3 linked regions of the Lonchura striata genome follow. The protein of the gene in region 2 interacts with the protein of the main gene of each other region in a biochemical or structural test. Links are inferred from orthologs where the notes say so. Each region holds a gene or a part of one and is shown on either strand. Other genes may lie near its edges. The genes, in order: TCERG1, U2AF2 and PRPF40A.

Region 1 (7,417 bases), on a different chromosome or scaffold from region 2:
CGCCGACTCCCGTGTGCGTGCGTTGTAAAAATAGACCTGGGGAGAGTGGCCCCGTCACACTGAGGCTCACTGTGGGACGGCGGCCCCGCCACGGCATGCATCCCAGCCACCTGGATATCCCAGCCCAGCCACACCGTGGGACAGCAGCCCTGCCACCCAGGCCATCCCAGCCCCGCCATGGCAGGCATCCCAGCCACCTGGATATCCCAGCCCTGCCACAACACGGGACGGTGGCCCCACCACCTGGATATCCCAGCCCAGCCAGCGTGCCCAGGGTCACAGCAGGACCACCCACAGCCCCCATCTCACCTTCCCATCTGGAGTTTTGTTCTCTACCCAGATCTCCTCAGCTGGGGGCATTGCTGGTGTTCCCGGCGCGGAGACCGGCGGCATTCCTGGAGGGAACATCATACCAGGAGGTGGTGGCATGCTACCCATGGGAGGAGGCATAAATGGTGGTCTCTAAAGGCATATAATAACAATAATGATGATAATGACAACAACAATACAATTTCAAGCAGATTTCCTTTCTTAGAGAACCAACAGACACTACACCAACAGTAAGGACAGCTGTGCCAGACTTAGAAGCTTCTCTAATGATCCAGTGCTCCCAGCTCAGGGAATGTGCTCCCAAGCCAACCCCCCACCCATGGCAGAACAGCTGAAGCCATCACTTCTGAGATACAAATGTGCAGGCACCTAAAAAAGGTAGCATGAACAGAAATGTGGTCAAAGTCCTCTCCTGAAAAGAAGAAAATATGTCAATGGAAGGAAGAGAAAGAATGGAAGACCCAAATAGCTGTTGCTCAGACATTGCCATCTATGAACCAAATACCCCAGAAATACAACAACCGTCCCAGGAAAGATATGTTAGAAAAACCCAAATTACAAGTAAGCATCCAGTTTGTCAGTACAGCTGAGCAGTGTGTTAATTAAAATACATTACACAACTAAATTTCCCACTAACTAAAATTCTAGCTAGTGCTAATTAGAATAAAAATATGAAATTACATGTTCATTATTGCATGATAAGAAATCCTGACCTGTCCTGCACACAGTTACCTGAAAGCCTGAACACCTCTGGTAATTCAAAGTACATTCAGTTCTTTCATTTTACTTATTTACTTGGACTGTTTGAAATTCCCTATATGCAACAAGTACAGTGAACGCTTCTGTAAAAAGCTGACAAAGCTCACCGAGTTCTTTAGCTCACTCTGCAAACACCTACAAGTGCCCTCATTATTAAACACCAAAGTGTTAAATTACTATTAAACACCAAAGTGCCCCGATTGTCCCCATCACTCCAGCTCTGACTGAATGACAGCCTCGAGTGCCGTGCTCACCCCGAGCCCACGGCGGGCCTGGCGCTGGGACACCCAGGACAGCCCATGGCCTGGGGACAAGCTGCACACAGGGGCCCTGAGCTGTCTCCCTGCACCCACAACTGCAGCTGTACCCCTGGCAGCTGCCAGAGCTGCCATGTCCTTGGCTTCTGCTGGGAGCTGCCCTGAGATCCAGCTTTCTCTCTAAGAGTGCTATTTGAAACTGCTCTTTAAATCCACATACCAAACTAGTAACAATTATTTGCATTAAATACTACTAAAAAAGGAAGCCAAGAGTACATGGATGGCATTCTACACAAACAAAAAAAGCCCTCAACTCAACTGCAGCCTGCCTTCCCTCCCTTCTTCTTCCCCAACAGCTCTTGCACCTGCTTCACCATGAGCTTCCTCTTTCTTGCTCTTACAACTTGCATGAAGAATCCAATGAGAAGGAGCCCAATTTCTCCCTGCTACAGCTCCTCTCCCCAGTGCATGAGTAAAACCAGGCGGGCAGTCAGTGCCAGGTGTGCAGCCAGAGTCCCAGCACACCCGTTCTGAGCAGAGGCCCTTCCCCATCACACCTGCCTCTGGCCGGAGCCCTCAGCAGGAGCAGAGCTCAGCTCAGCCCAGCCCGAGACACCAGCCATGGCTGGGGCTGCTGAGGAGCGGCAGAGCTCACAGCCTGTGTGACACCTGGGAGCAGCAGCACTCCCTGCATGGAAACCAAACACAGGAGACACCCACAGCCAGGCCTGGCATCCAAAGTAACTCTGGTTGGTTCTTCAAACTGTAATTACAAATAGTGGATTTAATCCACAATGGCACGTGGTGCCATTCAGCTCCTCAGCATACCCACGGCCCACACGGCACTGATACTGCCTTAATGGGAAGGCACCCCCACAAAGCTATTAAATAACAGAATCCCTTTCTCATTCACAAAGGTGCTGTCCCTTGCAAACTCAGGCCTTAGAAAATCAAACACAAGACCTTAAACCATCCATCAGTTTAGCAGCAGAGGAGCTGAGCAAAAACTGTATTTGCACAGCACAGGTATGCAGAGGGGTGTAACACCTCACCTGAACACTGTGCTCTCATCCTGCCTTCCTGTTCCTTCACCCACTTCAGTGTCCATTCTCACACTATCTCCACACAATCACAGACGAGTTACATTGGAAAAGACCTCCCAGCCCATCGAGTCCAACCTGTGCCCCATCCGCACCTTGTCACCCGGCCTAGAGCACCGAGTGCCACATCCCATTGTTCCCTGGAGACCTCCAGGGAAGGGGACTCCAGCACCACCCTGAGCCTCCTTTTGTCCATGCTGAGCCCTGCAAGATGCCTCAGCTGCCCCTCAGCTGCCCTAGACTTGTACTCTAGACTCTCCACCAGCTCTACTGCGGTTCTCTGGACACGCTCCAGACCTCCACGTCCTTCCTGAACTCGAGGAGCCCAGAGGTGGACACCTCCATGTGTGAAAGCAAACGAAACCCCCTGAATGCCACCTAACCAACTCCGGAGAACGCCTTACCTGCAGGTGCGGAGGCCCCATGGGCGGGGGGATCCCCCCCGGCGGCGGCATCGGGGGCATGCTGGGGTCGAAGGGGGGTCGGCCGAAGGGGGGCCGGGGGGGCGGAGGAGGGCCCCGCATCATCCCGAAGGGCGGGGGCGGCCGCAGGAGGGGCGGGGGGCCGCGCAGCACCGCGCTGGGGGGCGGCGCGGGGCCACGGAACCGCAGCGCCTGCTGCTGAGCCATCCTGCGGAGAGAGGCACAGGAACACGGGTCACTGCCGGCCGCGGCTGCACGGGGACCAGCTGCGGCAGGATCCGGGGAAACCGAGACACCGACAGCGGGAGCCAAACGGGTCACGTTTGAGCGGGTGAAACCAAATGTGTGACTACTTCAACATGTACTTCTGCCACACAATTAGAGGTTATCAGTGCTCAAGTGTGAATTTCGCCTCGTGCAAATGGCCAAGCAGATAACAACAATACAATTTCAAGCAGATTTCCTTTCTTAGAGAACCAACAGACACTACACCAACAGTAAGGACAGCAGAGCTGGGATGGGGTAGGCAGCCACTGGGAAGCGCATCCTTCCTTATCTGCCAGAGCTCCTGAGCACGACCTGGAGCTCGGGCTGCTGCCTGCAACTGCGTCCGGGCCCTGCGGCCGGCCGTGCCCGGAGTGCCGGCTCTGCAGCGCCGGGGCTGCCAGGGGCTCTGTGTGCCGGGAGGACGGACCGGGGCAGGGCAGTGTCCGGGGCAGGGCCGGACCCGGGGCAGGGCCGTGTCCGGGGCAGGGCCGGACCCGGGGCAGGGCCGTGTCCGGGGCAGGGCCGGACCCGGGGCAGGGCCGTGTCCGGGGCAGGGCCGGACCCCGGCAGGCCCGGCCCGAGCGCCGCGGTCTCGCGCTGAGCCGGCCGGCGCTCCGCACGGGCTCTCAGAACCCGCCGCCGTCCGGAGCGGCGCACGCTGCCCTGCGGCTCCGGGACACGGCTTTACCAGCCCCGAGCGTAGGGCCACACAACGGGCCAGTGGGGGCCCAGGCGGGGGACGACACCAGATGCGGCCTGTCCGCACCCGGAGCGGAGCCGCCGCCGCCCGGCCCCACGCCCGGGAGCGGCCCCGGCCGGTGAGCGGGAACAGGGCCCGTCCCGTCGCACGCGGGGCGGGAATGCGGGCGGGAGAGCCGCCCCGGCCCGCCCCGCCAGCCCCGGCCCCGCCGGGCACGCCGGTCTCGGCCCGGCCCGGCCCGGCCGCCGTACCGGAGGTCGGTGCCGAAGCGCTCGCCCGCCGCCGCCGCCTCCCCGTCGCCGCCGCCGCCCCGCTCCGCCATGGCCGCCGCCGTCGCGCGCAGCCGCCCCACCCCCCCGCGGGCCCCGCCGCGCCCCATTGGCCGTCGGGCCTGCCCGTCAGCGCGCTCGGGGCCCAGCCCGCTCCGCCATTGGCCGTCCGGCCCTCCCGTCAGCGCGCGCGGGGCCCAGCCCGCCCCGCCATTGGCCGCCGCGCCCGCCGGCTCTGAATGGGGGGAGCCGGGCGCGCCGCCATTGGCCATGCCGCTCGCGCCTGCGGTCACGTGAGGCGCGGCCCGGGGAGGGGAGCGGAAGTGACTCGCGCCGCAGGGGGAAGGGGAAGAGCAGCGTCCAATCAGCGGGCGGAACCACATGCGCCAATCAGCGCCCGCAGCCCCAGACCACACAGGGAATGTCCCGTCCCGTGACGTCACGGGGCGCTCAGCCAATGAGCGATCCCGGCGGGGGGAGCGCGGCGGCCGCCAGGGGGCGCTGTGTGCGCGGGGGCGCCGGGGAACGGGGGGGAGCGGGAGGGGTCCGGGGAACCGGGGGGGAACCGGGGGAGCGGGAGGGGTCCGGGGAACCGGGGGGGGGGTCCGGGGAACCGGGGGGGAACCGGGGGAGCGGGAGGGGTCCGGGGGAGCGGGAGGGGTCCGGGGAACCGGGGGGGAACCGGGGGAGCGGGAGGGGTCCGGGGGAGCGGGAGGGGTCCGGGGAACCGGGGGGGAACCGGGGGAGCGGGAGGGGTCCGGGGAACCGGGGGAGGGTCTGGGGAACCAGGGGGGAACCGGGGGAACGGGAGAGGTCCGGGAAACCGGGGGAGCGGGAGGGGTCCGGGGAACCGGGGTGTCCGGGGAACCGGGGGGGTCTGGGGGAACGGGAAACCGGGGGAGAACCGGGGGCTCCAGCTCCGGGTGGGCACTGCCAGCCCCGGGTGAGCCCTGCGGTGGGCACTGCCAGCCCCGGGAGCGTTTGGGGGACATCCAGCGCTGCTGGGCAGCACCGGCGGCTGCAGCGCTCGGTGCGCAGGAGCCGCCAGGGACGTGTTCCCGGGACGTGCAGCTGCTTTCGCGATCCCACGTCCCATTCCTGCTCTCAATAGGAAGATCTGTCTTCTCTTAGATCGACAATAGGGAATTCCTCGGGGGCCTTTTGGGGGTGCTGAGCCACGGAGACTCACCCACCCCGGTGTCGCTGCGGGGTCTGTATTCTCGGGGTTTGCTGGATTTTGCTGCCGCTGTGAGGTCTGGGATGGGCCGGGGGTGCTGGGCTCCCCGGAGCCTGCCCGTGTGTCTGCCCGGTGCCCAGGCCGGGCCCTGCACAGTGCCTCTGCTCTCCTCACCAGCACTTCTGTGCCACACATTAAAACTGCTTTGCCCACGAGTGCTCAAATCCTCCACACACAGTGCGGCTGCCTGTCTTCCACGCGTCTTTCATCCTCTTTTTATCTCCCTGTTCCCCGGTTGTCTCCATGTTTTATTGATGTCAAGCGGGCGGGAGCAGCTGCAGGGCCTTCTCCCAGGTTCAGGGGGGCTGGAGCTGCTGCTGTACCCTAGCTCCCTCATCTCTGTGTTCTCAGAACATTCCAGTCAGGAATTCTCAGCGTGCAGCTCCTTCAGGGGCAGTTGGTTAGCAGTGAGCTGCAAAACACGAGGCATTTTGACAAATCTGCTGGCAGCTCCCTGTGCTGCAGGACGTGGCTCTTGGCAGCAGTACAATTTACTGTGATTGATACACACTTCCCTGGATTTCACTGAAACCAAGGATCCCAAAGGCTTGACTGGCTGCTTGCCTGGACACTCTCCCTAACTCCCGTGGGCTCTGGGGGTGCAGGTGCCAGGGGACTGAGCAGCAGGCTCTGTTCATCCCCTCAGGAAGCCGTGGGACTGTTCCTGGGGCTGGGAGGGCATTGCTGACCGTGCTCCTTGGGGAATGGGGCTGTGGCAAGCCCTGGAGCCAGGGGAAATCTCTCTGGGGGAATCCCACACCCACACCCGTTGCAGAGCTAGTGGATCTGCTGATGGAATTCTGCAAATGGAATGGCTGTGGGTGCACTGGGGATCCAGGTTTCCCAGAAAAGTCTGCAGCTGGAACCCCCACTGCAGCCCTGGTCCCCTGTCTCTGCTGCCAACCCTTCCCAGAGCCGTTGTTCCCTGGCTGGAAAGCTGCTGGCTGTGCCAGATACCAGCACAGAGCTGCTCTGCTGCTGCCAGTGCTGCTGCTCTTGCCCCAGAAATTGTTCCCAGGGAGGTTTTCAACTGGGGACCTCCTCAAGTATTTGGATCTCTGTAGTTTTTGAAAGGCTGTTTATGACAGTCTGAGTTCTCTGCCAGAAGGAATCCTGAAGCCCCACAGTGTGGATGTTCCCCTCAGACCTGCCCATGTTCTTGTGTTTTCTTGGTCCAGGGTGAGTGGCCTTCTTCATCCCGGTTGCAGCTCTGTCCCTGAGCTGGTTTCAGCAGCAAGGCTCCTGGTGCAGTGTGGCAGCCCCTGAGCTGCTCTGGGCTCCCACTGCTGGGACTGGCCCCTGCCGCGGAGCTGCAGCAGCCATGGGGTTGTGTCATCTCAGAGACGCCAACATCCTGCCATTCTTTTTTCATTTCTTCAGATTTCAGGTTGAAGTGTGATGACAAATAAAAATTTTGCCCTGAGCTGTCTGCAGGGCCTCTGGGCTGCTGCGGTGCCAGCATCTGCCAGGGAGAGCCCCAGATGCCATGCTGGAGGGTGGCAGTGGGGGGAGGCTCCTGCTGGCACCGAGGTGCCCCGCTTTCCCAGCCTCACGGATCACTGCTGGAGCTGGGGCTGAGGCCATGGGGAGACCCCCATCCCCTCCAGCCGTGGGGGCCCTGGGGGCCATGGCTGCTGTGCCCCTGCTTAGCCTTGGAGCTGGGCTGGCGAGTTCTAAGGCCTCGTGGGGCATCTGGGCATCTGGGCATTGTGGGGAGCAAGTGGGACTGGGCATTACTGAAATTTAACAGGGCACCTCCTGTGTGTGGGCATGGCGCAGCACGGCTCGGTGTGCTGCACCCAGACTCTGGGCACGGAGCTCCCCAGTCTGGTCCCAGGCTTTCCCTGTAGTTACATGAAAACATCCCATTTTTTCCTCTACACATGGAGCCTGCAGATTCCCTCCTACAGGGAAAAAGGGGTGCAGGCTCAGCCATGGTAAGAGCAGCAGATGGCCGGGGGGTCTGAGAGGTGCCCCGTGTCAGGCAGGGCAGGGGTTAGCCCAAAGGAGCTCACTGGAGGTGATGGCTGCAAAGAGCCCAGCAGAGCAGAGCCCGGCCCGGCTGCCTGCAGCACA
Region 2 (7,684 bases):
GGTTTAAAGGGGATTTTATGGGTGTAAATGGATTCTGGGCTGGTGGAGCCGAGGACGAGGAGGAGGACTGAGCGTTCCCGAAAAACGGGAATTCCCGGAATTCCGTCAGTCCGGGGGTGCTTCGGGGGCGCTGCGAGGGGATTGTGGGGGCTTGAAAGGGTTAAAATTGGATTTGTGGGGTTAAAATTGGATTTTTGGGGTTAAAATTGGGATTTTGGGGGGTTGAAAGGGTTAAAATTGGAGTTTCTGGGGTTAAATTGGGATTTGTGGGGAGTTGAAAGGGTTAAAACTGGATTGGGGGGGTTGAAAGGGTTAAAATTGGGGATTTTGGGGTTAAAATTGGGATTTTTGGGGAGTTGAAAGGGTTAAAATTGGATTTTTGGGGAGTTGAAAAGGTTAAAATGGGAGTTTTGGGGTTAAAATTGGGATTTTTGGGGACTTGAAAGGGTTAAAATTGGATTTTTGGATTTAAAATTGGATTTTTGGGAGTTGAAAGGGTTAAAATTGGGGATTTTGGGGTTAAAATTGGGATTTTGGGGTTAAAATTGGGATTTTGGGGTTAAAATTGGGATTTGTGGGGAGTTGAAAGGGTTAAAATTGGATTTTTGGGGTTAAAATTGGGATTTTTTGGGGAGTTGAAAGGGTTAAAATTGGATTTTTGGAGGGTTTAAAGGAATTTTTGGGGTGAAAATTGGAAGGTTTTGGGTTTAAATGGGATTTTATGGGTGTAAATGGATTCTGGGCCGGTGGAGCCGAGGAGGAGGACTGAGCATTCCCGGAAAAACGGGAATTCCCGGAATTCCGTCAGTCCGGGGGGCGCTGCAAGGGTTAACGTGGGGGTTTTGGGGGTTAAATTGGGATTGTGGGGAGTTGAAAGGGTTAAAATCGGATTTGTGGGGAGTTGAAAGGGTTAAAATGGGAGTTTCTGGGGTTAAAATTGGATTTTTGGGGTTAAAATTGGGATTTGTGGGGAGTTGAAAGGGTTAAAATTGGGGATTTTGGGGTTAAGATTGGATTTTTAGGGAGTTGAAAGGGTTAAAATTGGATTTGTGGGGAGTTGAAAGGGTTAAAATGGGAGTTTTGGGGTTAAAATTGGATTTTTCGGGGGTTGAAAGGGTTAAAATTGGGGATTTTTGGGGAGTTGAAAGGGTTAAAAATGGATTTTTGGAAGTTTTAAAGGGGATTTTGGGGTTAAAATTGGAAGGTTTTGGGTTTAAATGGGATTCTGGGCCGGTGGAGCCGAGGACGAGGAGGAGGACTGAGCCTTCCCGAAAAACGGGAATTCCCGGAATTCCGTCAGTCCGGGGGGTGCTTCGGGGGCGCTGCGAGGGTTAAAGTTGGATTTTGGGGGGGTTGAAAGGGTTAAAATGGGAGTTTCTGGGGTTAAAATTGGATTTTTGGGGTTAAAATTGGGATTTGTGGGGAGTTGAAAGGGTTAAAATTGGGGATTTTTGGGGGGTTGAAAGGGTTAAAATTGGGGATTTTGGGGTTAAAATTGGGATTTTGGGGTTAAAATTGGGATTTTGGGGTGTTAAAAGGGTTAAAATTGGATTTTTGGGAGTTAAATTGGGATTTTTGGGGGGTTGAAAGGGTTAAAATTTATTTTTGGGGGTTTTTGGGATCTGGGGCTGGAATTTTGGGAATTTTGGGATCCGGGGCTGGAATTTTGGGAATTTTGGGATCCGACGTTGGAATTTCAGGATCCGGGGTTGGAATTTCAGGATCCGGGGTTGGAATTTTGGAATTTTGGGATCCGAGGTTGGAATTTTGGGATCTGACGTTGGAATTATGGGATCTGGGGCTGGAATTTTGGGAATTTCCGGATCCGAGGTTGGAATTTCGGGATCCGGGGCTGGAATTTTGGGAATTTCCGGATCCGGGGCGGGAATTTTGGGAATTTCGGGATCCGAGGTTGGAATTTTGGGATCCGAGGTTGGAATTTCGGGATCTGGGGCTGGAATTTTGGGAATTTCGGGATCCGAGGTTGGAATTTCGGGATCCGGGGCTGGAATTTTGGGATCTGGGGCTGGAATTTTGGGAATTTCGGGATCCGGGGCTGGAATTTTGGGAATTTTGGGATCCAGGGCTGGAGTTTTGGGAATTTTGGGATCCGGGGCTGGAATTTTGGGAATTTCGGGATCCGGGGCTGGAATTTTGGGAATTTCGGGATCCGGGGCTGGAATTTTGGGGATTTCGGGATCCGAGGTTGGAATTTCGGGATCCGAGGTTGGAATTTTGGGAATTTCGGGATCCGGGGCTGGAATTTTGGGAATTTCGGGATCCGAGGTTGGAATTTCGGGATCCGGGGCTGGAATTTTGGGAATTTCGGGGCCCCCCGTGATGGCAGCACTGGGCTCTGACCCCTGATGGATCCCTGTGCCCCTCCCCCACGCGGGGGGGTCTGAGGGGGCCCCAAATCCCAAATCCCCCAATTTGGGGCGAAAGTCGGGAACTTTTTGGGGAGAATTTCGGGAATTTTGGGGGAAAACTTCAAGAATTTTTGGGAAGAATTTTGGGGAATTTTTTGGGGGGGAATTTTGGGATTTTTTTGGAGGGGAATTTCTTGGGGGGGAATTCTGGGAATTTTTGGGGGAATTTCAGAAATTTTTGGGGGCATTTTGGGAATTTTTTTTTGGGATTTTGAGAATTTTTGAAGGGAGTTTCGGGAATATTTTGGGGGAATTTCCAAATTTTTGGGGGGGAATTTTGGGAATTTTATTGCGGTACTTCTGGGAATTTTTTGGAGGGAATTTTGGAATTTTTTTGGGGAGAATTTTGGGGAATTTTTTTTGGGAATTTCAGGAATTTTCTGAGGGAATTTTTTGTGGGAATTTCAGGAATTTTCTGGAGGGAATTTTGGGAATTTTTGGGGGAAATTTTGGGAATTTCGGGCTGGAATTAACCCTTTGTTGTCTTGCCTCCAGGTGACGCCGCCGGAAGTTCGGAGTGGGGAAATTCCCGTCAATAAAAATTGAAATTTAAAAATGAAAAATTAAAATATTTTTGGTTTTTTTTTTTCTGAGAGCTGCCCCAGCTGGGCCTGGCACACCTGGGACAAAAAAGACCGAAAAAAGGGAAAAAGGGAAAAAGCAGGAAGAAAATACTATAAAAAGGGGAAAAAGAGGGAAAAAAAGATCGAAAAATGGGGAAAAAAGGGAAAACAGGGGAAGAAAAGGGGGAAAAAAGGGGAGAAAAAGGAAAAAAAGACAGAAAAAAGGGGAAAAATGGGGGGAAAAGGGGAATAAAAGGAAGAAAAGACTGAAAAAAGGGATAAAAGGGGGAAAAAGGGGAAAAAAGGCACAAAAGCGGAAAAAGGGGAAAAAAAGACTAAATAGAGGAAAAAAGGTGGAGGGAAGGAAAAAAAGACAGAAAAAAGGGGAAAAATGGGGGAAAAAGGGGAATAAAAGGAAAAAAAGACTGAAAAAAGGGGGAAAATGGGGAAGAAAAGACTGAAAAAAAGGGGAAAAATGGGGAAAAAGACCGAGAGAAGAGGGGAAAAGAGGGGAAAATGGGGAAAAAAGGGGAAGAAAAGACAGAAAAAAGGGGAAAAAAGGGAAAAAAAAGACCGAAAAAAGAGGGGGAAAGGGAAAAAAGGAATAAAAGGGGGAAAAAGGGGAAAAAAGGCACAAAAGGGGAAAAAGGGAAAAAAAAAAAGCCTAAAAAAGGGAAAAAAGGGGGAGGGAAGGAAAAAAAGACTGAAAAAAGGGGAAAAATGGGGGAAGAAAAGACTGAAAAAAGGGGAAAAATGGGGGAAAAGGGGGAATAAAATGAAAAAAAGACTGAAAAAAGGGGAAAAATGTGGGGAAAAGGGGGAATATAAGGAAAAAAAGACTGAAAAAAGGGGGAAAAGGGGAAGAAAAGACAGAAAAAAGGGGAAAAATGGGGGGAAAGGGGGAATATAAGGAAAAAAAGACTGAAAAAAGGGGGAAAAGGGGGGAAAAAAAGACAGAAAAAAGGGGAAAAAGGGGAAAAAGACCGAGAGAAGAGGGGAAAAGAGGGGAAAATGGGGAAAAAAGGGGAAGAAAAGACAGAAAAAAGGGGAAAAAAAGGAAAAAAGACCGAAAAAAGAGGGGAAAAGGGGAAAAAGGGGAAAAAGAGGAAAAAGGGAAAAAAGGGGAAAAAGGGGAAAAAGGGAAAAAAGGGGGAAAAGGGGAAAAAAGGGAAAAAAGGGGAAAAAAGGGGAAAAAGGGGAAAAAAGGGGAAAAAAGGGAAAAAAGGGGAAAAAGGGAAAAAGGGAAAAAAGGGGAAAAAGGGGAAAAAGGGGAAAAAGGGGAAAAAGGGGAAAAAGGGGAAAAAGGGGAAAAAGGGGAAAAGGGGAAAAAGGGAAAAAGGGAAAAAGGGAAAAAGGGGAAAAAGGGGAAAAAAGGGGGAAAAGGGGAAAAAGGACAAAAGGGGAAAAAGGGGAAAAAAGGGGAAAAAGGGGAAAAAGGGGAAAAAGGGAAAAAAGGGAAAAAGGGGAAAAAGGGGAGCGGGCTTCGGGCCCGAGCGGGGCCGGGAAGCGGCGGGAAAAGCCGAGCGGGGCCGGAAGTTCCCGAGCGGCGCCGGAAATTCCCGAGCGGCGCCGGAAGTTCCGAGCGGGACCGGAAGCGCCGAGCGCTGGCGGGAGTTCCCGAGCGCCGCCGGGAATTGCCGAAGCGGCGGCGGAAGGAGCCGAAGGCGCGGCCGGAAGCGGCCGAGCGCGGCCGGAAGCGGCGGAGCGCGGGCGGAGGCGGCGCGGCCTGAGGGCGGCCGTGAGGAGCGGGGAGGCGCCGGGAGAGCTCCGGGAAAGCTCCGGGGAGGCGCCGGGAAAGCTCCGGGAGGCTCCCGGGGAGCCGCCGCCATGTCCGACTTCGACGAGTTCGAGCGGCAGCTGAACGAGAACAAACAAGGTACCGGCCCCGCCCCCCCCACGGGCCGCGCCTCACGGGGGGGGGGAACGGGGGAGACCCCCCCAAAAATTGGGGGAGACCCCCCCCCACCACCCCAGCCCAAATTTGGGGTTCCCCCCCCCCCGGTTTTGGGGTTCCTCCAGTCCCGGTTTGGGTTCTCCCCCCGAAAATTTGGGTTCGACTTTCGGTGCCCCCCCCTCCCCTTCCCCAAATTGGGCTCGTCCGCCATTGGTTTTGACCCCCCCCCCAATTTTGGGGTTCGCCCTCCCCAAATTTGGGGATCCCCTTCTAAATTTGGGGTCCCCCCCACACGAATTTGGGATCCCCCTCTTAATTTGGGGTCCCCCCACACGAATTTGGGATCCCCCCTCTCCAATTTTGACCCCCCCCCCCAATTTTGGGGTTCGCCCTCCCTAATTTGGAGACCCCCCCCTCTTAATTTGGGGTTCCCCCACCCCAAATTTGGGGATCCCCCCTCTTAATTTGGGGTCCCCCCTCTCCAATTTTGACCCCCACCCCCAATTTTGGGGTTCGCCCTCCCTAATTTGGGGATCCCCCCCTCTTAATTTGGGGTTTCCCCACCCCAATTTTGACCCCACCCCAAAATTTGGGGACCCCGCTCTTAATTTGGGGTTCCCCCACCCCAATTTTGTCCCCCACCTCCAATTTTTGGGGTCCCCCCACCCCAAATTTGGGGACCCCCCTCTTAATTTGGGGTCCCCCCACACGAATTTGGGGTCTCCCCCATTCCAATTTTGACCCCACCCCAAAATTTGGGGTCCCCCCACCCCAAATTTCGGGATCCCCCTCTTAATTTAAGGTCCCTCCTCAAGAATTTGGGATCCCCCCCCATTCCAATTTTGACCTCCACCCCAAAATTTGGGGTCCCCCCACCCCAAATTTGGGGATCCCCCTCTTAATTTGGGGTTCCCCCTCCCCAAATTTGGGGATCCCCTTCTTAATTTGGGGTCCCTCCTCACGAATTTGGGATCCCCCCCATTCCAATTTTGACCCCCACCCCAATTTTTGACCCCCACCCCAAATTTGGGGATCCCCCCTCCTAATTTGAGGTCCCCCCTCCCCAAATTTGGGGACTCCCCTCTTAATTTGGGGTCCCCCCCACGGGAATTTGGGGTCCCCCCCTCCCCAATTTTTGACCCCACCCCAATTTTGGGGAACCCCCCCCCTCGAATTTTGGATCCCCCCAAATTTTGGGTTCATCCTTCGTGACCCCCTCCCCCAAATTTTGGGGTCCCCTCCTCCAATTTTGGATCCCCCCCAAATTTTGGGATAATTTTGGGTTTTTCCCCCACAATTTTGGGATAATTTTGGGGTTTTACCTCCCAATTTTGGGATAATTTTGGATTTTTCCCCTCACAATTTTGGGATAATTTTGGGTTTTTTCCCCCCCCAATTTTGGGAGAATTTGGGGTTTTTTCCACCCAAATTTTGGGATAATTTTGGGTCTTTTCCCCCCCCAATTTTGGGATAATTTTGGATTTTTCCCCTCACAATTTTGGGATAATTTTGGGGTTTCCTCCCCCCCCAATTTTGGGATAATTTTGGGGTTTTTTCCACCCAAATTTTGGGATAATTCTGGGTCTTTTCCCCCCCAATTTTGGGATAATTTTGGGGTTTTACCTCCCAATTTTGGGATAATTTTGGATTTTTCCCCTCACAGTTTTGGGATAATTTTGGGTTTTTCCCCCCCCCAACCAATTTTGGGATAATTTTGGTTTTTTTCCACTTTTTTGGGGTTGATTTTGGGGTATTTTCTCCCCTCGCAGAGCGGGACAAGGAGAACCGGGGGTTTGGATTAGTTTGAGTTTATTTTATGATATGTTGGGTTATTTTGGTTTATTTTAGGTTTATTTTAGGTTTATTTTGGGTTAATTTTGGCCCATTTTGGGTTAATTTGGGGCCATTTTGGGTTAATTTGGGGCCATTTTGGGTTAATTTGGGGCCATTTTGGGTTAATTTTGGCCCATTTTGGGTGTTTTCTCCCCTCGCAGAGCGGGACAAGGAGAACCGGGGGTTTGGGTTAGTTTGGGATATTTTGGTTTATTTTAGGTTTATTTTGGGTTTATTTTGGGATATTTTGGGTATCTTTGGGGCTATTTTGGGTTAATTTGGGGCCATTTTGGGTTAATTTTGGGCCATTTTGGGTGTTTTCTCCCCTCGCAGAGTGGGACAAGGAGAACCGGGGGTTTGGGTTAGTTTGGGATATTTTGGGTTGATTTGGGGTATATTTTGGGTTTATTTTGTGATTTTTGGGCCATTTTGGGTTAATTTTGGCCCATTTTGGGTTAATTTTGGCCCATATTGGGTTAATTTTGGGCCATTTTGGGTGTTTTCTCCCCTCGCAGAGCGGGACAAGGAGAACCGGGGGTTTGGGTTAGTTTGGGTTTATTTTATGATATGTTGGGTTATTTTGGGATATTTTGGGTTATTTTGGGATATTTTGGGTAAATTTTGGGATATTTTGGGATATTTGGGTTGATTTTGGGACTTTTCCTCCCCTTGCAGAGTGGGACAAGGAGAACCGGGGGTTTGGCTTGTTTGTGATATTTTGGTTTATTTTAGGTTTATTTTGGGCTTATTTTGAGCTATTTTGGGTTAATTTTGGGCCATTTTGGGTTAATTTTGAGCTATTTTGGGTTAATTTTGGGCCATTTTGGGTTAATTTTGGGCCATTTTGGGTTAATTTTGGTGCATTTTGGGTGTTTTCTCCCCTTGCAGAGCGGGACAAGGAGAACCGGGGGTTTGGGTTAGTTTGGGATATTTTGGTTTATTTTAGGTTTATTTTGGGATATTTT
Region 3 (7,020 bases), on a different chromosome or scaffold from region 2:
ATTAATTATCTGTTTCCATTCAAAAAAAAGACTTGACTCAATTCCAATCTATGGACTGAAAAATAGAGGTGCATTAATTATCTTTTCCCATTCCAAAAAACATGAATCGATCCCAATATATTGATTGATAATTCAAGTTACAGGTGCATTAATTACCTTTTCTCCTTCCAAAAAACAACTTGAATCAATCCCAAATTCTGGATTGAAAATTAAGAGGTGCATTACATTATCTGTTTTCATTCCAAAAAACTTGACTCGATCCCAAATTCTGGATTGAAAATGAAGCTAGAGGTGCATTAATTACCTGCTCCCATACCAATTACTAACTGAAGTCACCAAGGTGCATCCACTCCCTGCTGCCCGTAAGAAGGGTTTTCCCCCGGTTAGGATAAACTCCCGAATTCTCTCCTCTCCCTCTCCCAGGGAGCTGGAGGGATCCCTTTTCCTGAGGGATGGAGCAGGAGCTGCTGGAATTGCCTTACCTGCCCCATCGGGGGTCCCCCCATGGGGGGCATCATCTGCGGCATCATCCCGTGGGGGACCGGGGGCATGTTGGGGGGTCTCTGCCCCATGGGGTGCATCCCCATCGGGGGGTAGTGGGGCATTCCCGGGTGGCCCATCTGGAAAACAACCAGGGAAAAAAATCAGCGGCGAGGCGAGCGCCCCAGACACACCCAGCAGGGGGAAAAGGAGATCCCCTTCCCTGGGCTTTTCAGGGATTCAAACACTCCCAGAGATTTCTGTTCCACAGCTCTCGGAGTTCCTTAGGATAAAACCCAGGCAGAGTTTCCATTTGGAAAATATAGTTAGCAGGAAAGGGAAAAAAAAAACCAAATTATTGAAGACACAATCCCAGAATGGTTTGGGTAGGAGGGACCTGAATGCCTCCAGTTTCAGCCTCTGGGACACCTTCCACTGTCCCAGGTGCTCCAACCTAGCCTTGGACACTTCCAGGGATGAGGCAGCCTGGAATTCCACCCCAGGAATCCCCACCCTCACAGGGGAGGAATTCTCCCTTAATTTCCGCACCTTTCAGTTTTTCAATGATTCCTTCCTTGTGTGGGTGACAGGTGCCCAGAGAGGGTTTGGGGGGCAGGGACTCATGCCCAAAAAGCCCCACCTGCACACGAGTAGGAACTTCTTCCTGTGTGGGCTCCAGGTGCCAGAGAGGGTTTGATGGGCAGGGAGTGATGCCCAGGAAGTGCCTCCTGCACACTACCAAGAATTCCTTCCCTGTGCGGGCATCACTGCCCAGAGAGGGTTTGGTGGGCAGGGACTGATGCCTAGGAAGCCCCACCAGCACAGGACCAAGAACTCCTTCCTTGTGTGGGTGACAGGCAGGGACTGATGCCCAGGAATGCCACCTGCACAGGAGCAGGAACTCCTTCCCTGTGAGGGTGTCAGGTGCCCAGAGAGGGTTTGATGGACAGGGACTGATGCCTAGGAAGTGCCACCTGGAAGTGCCACTTGCACAGAAGCAAGAACTCCATCCTTGCGTGGGTGACAGGCAAGGACTGATGCCCAGGAAGTGCCACCTGCACAGGAGCAGGAACTCCTTCCTTGTGTGGGCTCCAGGTGCCCAGAGAGCTCTGATGGGCAGGGACTGATGCCCAGGAACACAAGCAAGAACTCCTTCCCTGTGTGAGCTCCAGGTGCCCAGAGAGGGTCTGATGGGCAGGGACTGATGCCCAGGAAGTGCCACCTACACAGGACCAAGAATTCCTTCTCTGTGTGGGTGACAGGCAGGGACTGATGCCCAGGAATGCCACCTGCACAGGAGCAGGATCTCCTTCCTTGTGTGGGCTCCAGGTGCCCAGAGAGGTCTGATGGGCAGGGACTGATGCCCAGGAAGTGCCACCTGGAAGTGCCACTTGCACAGAAGCAAGAACTCCATCCTTGCGTGGGTGACAGGCAAGGAGTGATGCGCAGGAATGCCACCAGCAGAGGACCAAGAATTCCTTCTCTGTGCAGGTGACTATCAGGGACTGATGCCCAGGAATGCCATCTGCACAGGAACAGGAACTCCTTCCTTGTGTGAGCTCCAGGTACCCAGAGAGGTCTGATGGGCAGGGACTGATGCCCAGGAACACAAGGAAGAACTCCTTCCTTATTCGGGCTCTAGATGCCCAGAGAGGGTCTGATGGGCAGGGACTGACGCCCAGGTAGTGCCACCTGCACAGGAGCAGGAACTCCATCCTTATACAGGTGCCAGGTGCCCAGGGAGGATTTGACAGGCAGGGACTGATGCGCAGGAATGGCACCAGCAGAGGAACAGGATCTCCTTCCTTGTGTGGTCTCCAGGTGCCCAGAGAGGTCTGATGGGCACGGACTGATGCCCAGGAACACAAGCAAGAACTCCTTCCCTGTGCGGGCTCCAGGTGCCCAGAGAGGGCTTTACAGACAAGAACCGATACCCACGAGGTGCCACCTGCACAGGAGCAGGAACTCCTTCCCTGTGTGGGCTCCAGGTGCCCAGAGAGGGTCTGATGGGCACGGACTGATGCCCAGGAACACAAGCAAGAACTCCTTCCCTGTATGAGCTCCAGGTGCCCAGAGAGGTCTGATGGGCAGGGACTGATGCCCAGGAACACAAGCAAGAACTCCTTCCCTGTATGAGCTCCAGGTGCCCAGAGAGGTCTGATGGGCACGGACTGATGCCCAGGAACACAAGCAAGAACTCCTTCCCTGTATGAGCTCCAGGTGCCCAGAGAGGTCTGATGGGCAGGGACTGATGCCCAGGAACACAAGCAAGAACTCCTTCCCTGTGCGGGCTCCAGGTGCCCAGAGAGGTCTGATGGGCAGGGACTGATGCCCAGGAACACACGCAAGAACTCCTTCCCTGTGCGGGCTCCAGGTGCCCAGAGAGGGTTTTACAGACAAGAACCGATACCCAGGAATCCCACCTGCACAGGAGCAGGAACTCCACCCCCGCGCGGGCCAGCTCCCCGAGCCCGTTCATGGATTTGCCCCCGCTCCCCCGGCCCGGCGCGGCACTGACCATGAGCGAGGCGCGGTCCACGGCGGCGGGGCGCATGGCGGGGCTGAGCAGCGAGCCGCCGCAGCGGCCCAGCAGGCGGCCGCGCAGGGGCGGGCGCGGCGCGGCGGGCCCGAAGGGCAGCAGCGGCTCGGGCTCGCCGCGGGGCGGCAGCAGCGGCGCCAGCAGGCTGACCGGCTTCCCCGCCGGCCAATCGGGCCGCGCCGCCAGCCGCGCGCTCTTCGGCGATTGGTCCGCGCCCGAGCCCACCGGCCGCACCGCGTCGCCCGGAGTCAGCTGCATCAGGGGCGGCGGTTTCGGCAGAGAGAACGGCAGAGGCTGCGGGGAGGCGGCGGCGGCCGCGGCGGTGGAGTCGCCGCCGGACATGCTGGCGGGGAGCGGGGCGGCCCCGCGGCGGCGCGGGCGGCTCGGCCGGGAGCGCGGCGCGCGGAGCGGAGCGGCGGCTGCGGCGGCCGAGCGCGGGGCACGCCGGGAGAGCGCTCACGTGGGGCCGGGGGAGGTGCGCGCTGCGCCGGGCGGCACCAACAGCGCCGGAAGGAGGGGGTGGTTTCGCGCGCCGCAGCTCCAACTCGGCGGGAGGTGGCGGTAGAGCTCCCCTCAGGCGGACGCGGGTGGTACGCGCCGGGTCAGTGTACCCCCCCCTCTGCGTGACGGTGGTACGTGCCGAGCGCGGCCGGGGTGGCGCCGGTCCCCCCCCCGGGCCGCGCGCAGTGGTTGGTGCCGCTGAGGGGAGCGGCCGCGGGGATCGGGAATGGGAACCGGGAATGGGAATGGGAACCGGGAATGGGAACCGGGAATGGGAACAGGAAATGTCCCGCTGGGATCGGGAATGGGAACCGGGAATGGGAACCGGGAATGGGAACAGGGAATGGGAACCGGGAATGGGAACAGGGAATGGGAACAGGGAATGGGAACCGGGAATGGGAATGGGAACCGGGAAATGGGAACAGGGAATGGGAACAGGGAATGGGAACAGGGAATGTCCCATTGGGAATGAGGAATGTCCCGCTGGAACCGGGAATGGGAACCGGGAATGGGAACAGGGAATGGGAACCGGGAATGTCCCTCTGGGATCGGGAATGGGAACCGGGAATGGGAACCGGGAATGGGAACCGGGAATGGGAACAGGGAATGTCCCGCTGGGATCGGGAATGGGAACAGGGAATGGGAATGGGAACCGGGAAATGGGAACAGGGAATGGGAACAGGGAATGTCCCGCTGGGATCGGGAATGGGAACAGGGAATGTCCCGCTGGGATCGGGAATGGGAACAGGGAGTGGGAACCGGGAAATGGGAACAGGGAATGGGAACCGGGAAATGGGAACAGGGAATGTCCCTCTGGGATCGGGAATGGGAACCGGGAGTGGGAACCGGGAAATGGGAACAGGGAATGGGAACCGGGAAATGGGAACAGGGAATGTCCCATTGAGAATATGGGAATGTCCCTCTGGGATCGGGAATGGGAACCGGGAGTGGGAACCGGGAAATGGGAACAGGGAATGGGAACCGGGAAATGGGAACAGGGAATGGGAACAGGGAATGTCCCATTGAGAATATGGGAATGTCCCTCTGGGATCGGGAATGGGAACCGGGAGTGGGAACCGGGAAATGGGAACAGGGAATGGGAACCGGGAAATGGGAACAGGGAATGTCCCATTGAGAATATGGGAATGTCCCATTGGGAATGGAGAATGTCCCGCTGGGATTGGGAATGGGAACCAGTAATGTCCCATTGGGAACCGGAAATAGGAACCGGGAATGTCCCATTGGGAACCGGGAATGTCCCATTGGGAACCGGGAATAGGAACCGGGAATGTCCCATTGGGAACCGAGAGTGTCCCGCTGGGATCGGGAATGGGAACCGGGAATGTCCCATTGAGAACCAGGAATGTCCCATTGGGAACCGGGAATAGGAACCGGGAATGTCCCATTGGGAACCGAGAGTGTCCCGCTGGGATCGGGAATGGGAACCGGGAATGTCCCGTTGGGAACCGGGAGTGTCCCGCTGGGAATGTCCCATTGGGAACCAGGAATGTTCCATTGGAAATGTCCCATTGGGAATGGGGAGTGTCCTGCTGGGGATCAGGAATGTCCCGGAGGAATGGGCAGTGTCCCATTGGGAATGGGGAATGTCCCGTTGGGAATCGGGAATGTCCCGCTGGGATCGGGACGCGCTCCGGGAGCTCTGGCAGCTGCGAGGCCGTGGCTGTGCCAGGGGCAGCCTCAGCTTCTTTGGGAATTCCAGCCCACCCTCCCAGCCAGAATTCCCAATTCCCAAAATCCCTCCCAGCCAGAATCCCCAATTCTGCGGGATAAATGAATTTAAGTGGGGACTCCAAAGCGGAACGACTCAGGATATCCAGGGAATGATCTCTGCCCCCTTGGCATGTTTATTTATCCATGTTTTTCTTCCTGAAGTTACAAAACTTGGAATATTTTCCTGTCCCCTGCCCATGTCTCGTTCTTCCCCTTGAGCAGAGGGATCGTCAGGGATGTGGATTTATTTTCCATGATATTCCTGGATTTCCACACGCCTCCACGGTTTTCAAACACCTCATTTTGCATTTTGGGGTACAGATATTTAATCAATCCCGTGGCTGCTGTCAGCCAGGGGCTGGTTTGGCTCGGCTCATGGAAATATGGAATTATTGGGATAAAAAAGGACAAAAATTCCTGCAATCCCACATTCCCGTGGGCAGGGACACCTCCCCTCTCCCAGGTTCTTCCTTGGACTCTTGGGATAAACACCAACCCTCACCTCCCCGAGCTTAAAGAATTCTCTAAATCCACCCAAAAAGGTCTTGATTAATCCGATTTTTCGGCCATGATCAAGCAGTGAAATTAAAATTTAAATTGATTTTCAATTAAATCTTGAAATCTCATTTCAGTCTCTCCCGGTGTGCAGGGAGCAGAGCTCCAGCGGGGCACAGCTGCTTTTGGCAGCCCAAGGTGTAACTTTAGTACTTGGAGTATTTTTATTTCTTTATTTTTAAGCACAGCTGCCTCAAATCAGTCCAAATCAAGTGAATTGATTTAATTTTTTTTCCTGATTTTTTAAACTTTTTTTTGTGTTTTTACAGAAATTTTGATAGAGCATCCAATCCTTCACTCTTCTTCCTGATCCTGGAGGAAACTTCTGCTTTTTAACCTGGATTTTCAGGCAGGATTTGTAGGAAATACAGAACTCCAAAATTTTTTAAAAATTGTAATACAAATTCTGAAATAAGAGAACTTTGAAGTAAAAATTCTGAAATAAAACTTTTGAATTGCAGATTCTGAAAATAGAAATTCTGAAAATAGAAATTCTGAAAATAGAAATGCTGAAATAAAAATTCTGAAATAAAAATTCTGAATTGCAGATTCTGAAATAGAAATTCTGAAATAGAAATTCTGAAATAAAAATTCTGAATTGCAGATTCTGAAATAGAAATTCTGAAATAAAAAAATCTGAGCTGAAAGTTCTAAAATAGAAAACTGTGCAATGTAAATTTGAAAACGCAAACTCTGAGATAAAAAACCCCGAGACGCAAATTCTGAAATGCGAATTCAGGAATAAAAACCTCCAAAATAAAAACAGAAGTGAAAATTCTGAAATAAAAATTCAGGAACGCAAATTTTGAAATAAAACCCCTGAAATTTAAATTCTGCAACGCAAATTCTGAAACATGGAATTCTGGAATATAAGATATTTGGGACAATGAGCTCTGGAATTCCCTTTCCATGGAATTTTACCTGTTAGCTGGAATATATTTAACCAGTGATCTTTATTTTTTCTCGTAGAAAAACTTTTATTTCCTGTAAACTGAATATAAAATTGCTCTCGGGTGTTTCCCAGGATTTCCTGTGGAAAGGCAGAGAATTCCAGGCGAATTCCTGGAGCGGCCAGCAGGGAGAGGGCTCGCACAGGGAATCTCGGCTTGTCCCGGCATCCTGAATCGGCGGCCGGGCAAGGAGGGAAAGGAGAGGACTTGGAAATGGATTTTTCATTTCCCGTGCCTTTGGAATTCTGGCATTCCCGGGAAAAC

Evidence for each region.
Region 1: the proteins of U2AF2 (region 2) and TCERG1 form a complex in vitro, tested with the Homo sapiens proteins (2 studies listed by BioGRID). The link is inferred for Lonchura striata from reciprocal best matches to the Homo sapiens genes U2AF2 and TCERG1.
Region 3: the proteins of U2AF2 (region 2) and PRPF40A form a complex in vitro, tested with the Homo sapiens proteins (2 studies listed by BioGRID). The link is inferred for Lonchura striata from reciprocal best matches to the Homo sapiens genes U2AF2 and PRPF40A.

Annotation. Positions count from the first base shown.
Region 1 is NC_134617.1:454,879-462,295, forward strand, and holds the start of TCERG1 (transcription elongation regulator 1), read right to left. Parts: upstream 3,076-7,417; coding exon 2,851-3,075; intron 463-2,850; coding exon 310-462; intron 37-309; coding exon 1-36. UniProt on the Homo sapiens protein: Transcription factor that binds RNA polymerase II and inhibits the elongation of transcripts from target promoters. Regulates transcription elongation in a TATA box-dependent manner.
Region 2 is NC_134640.1:2,651,018-2,658,701, forward strand, and holds the start of U2AF2 (splicing factor U2AF 65 kDa subunit), read left to right. Parts: upstream 1-4,668; 5' UTR 4,669-4,819; coding exon 4,820-4,868; intron 4,869-7,684. UniProt on the Homo sapiens protein: Plays a role in pre-mRNA splicing and 3'-end processing. By recruiting PRPF19 and the PRP19C/Prp19 complex/NTC/Nineteen complex to the RNA polymerase II C-terminal domain (CTD), and thereby pre-mRNA, may couple transcription to splicing.
Region 3 is NC_134610.1:1,400,913-1,407,932, reverse strand, and holds the start of PRPF40A (pre-mRNA-processing factor 40 homolog A), read right to left. Parts: upstream 3,088-7,020; 5' UTR 3,035-3,087; coding exon 2,999-3,034; intron 621-2,998; coding exon 483-620; intron 1-482.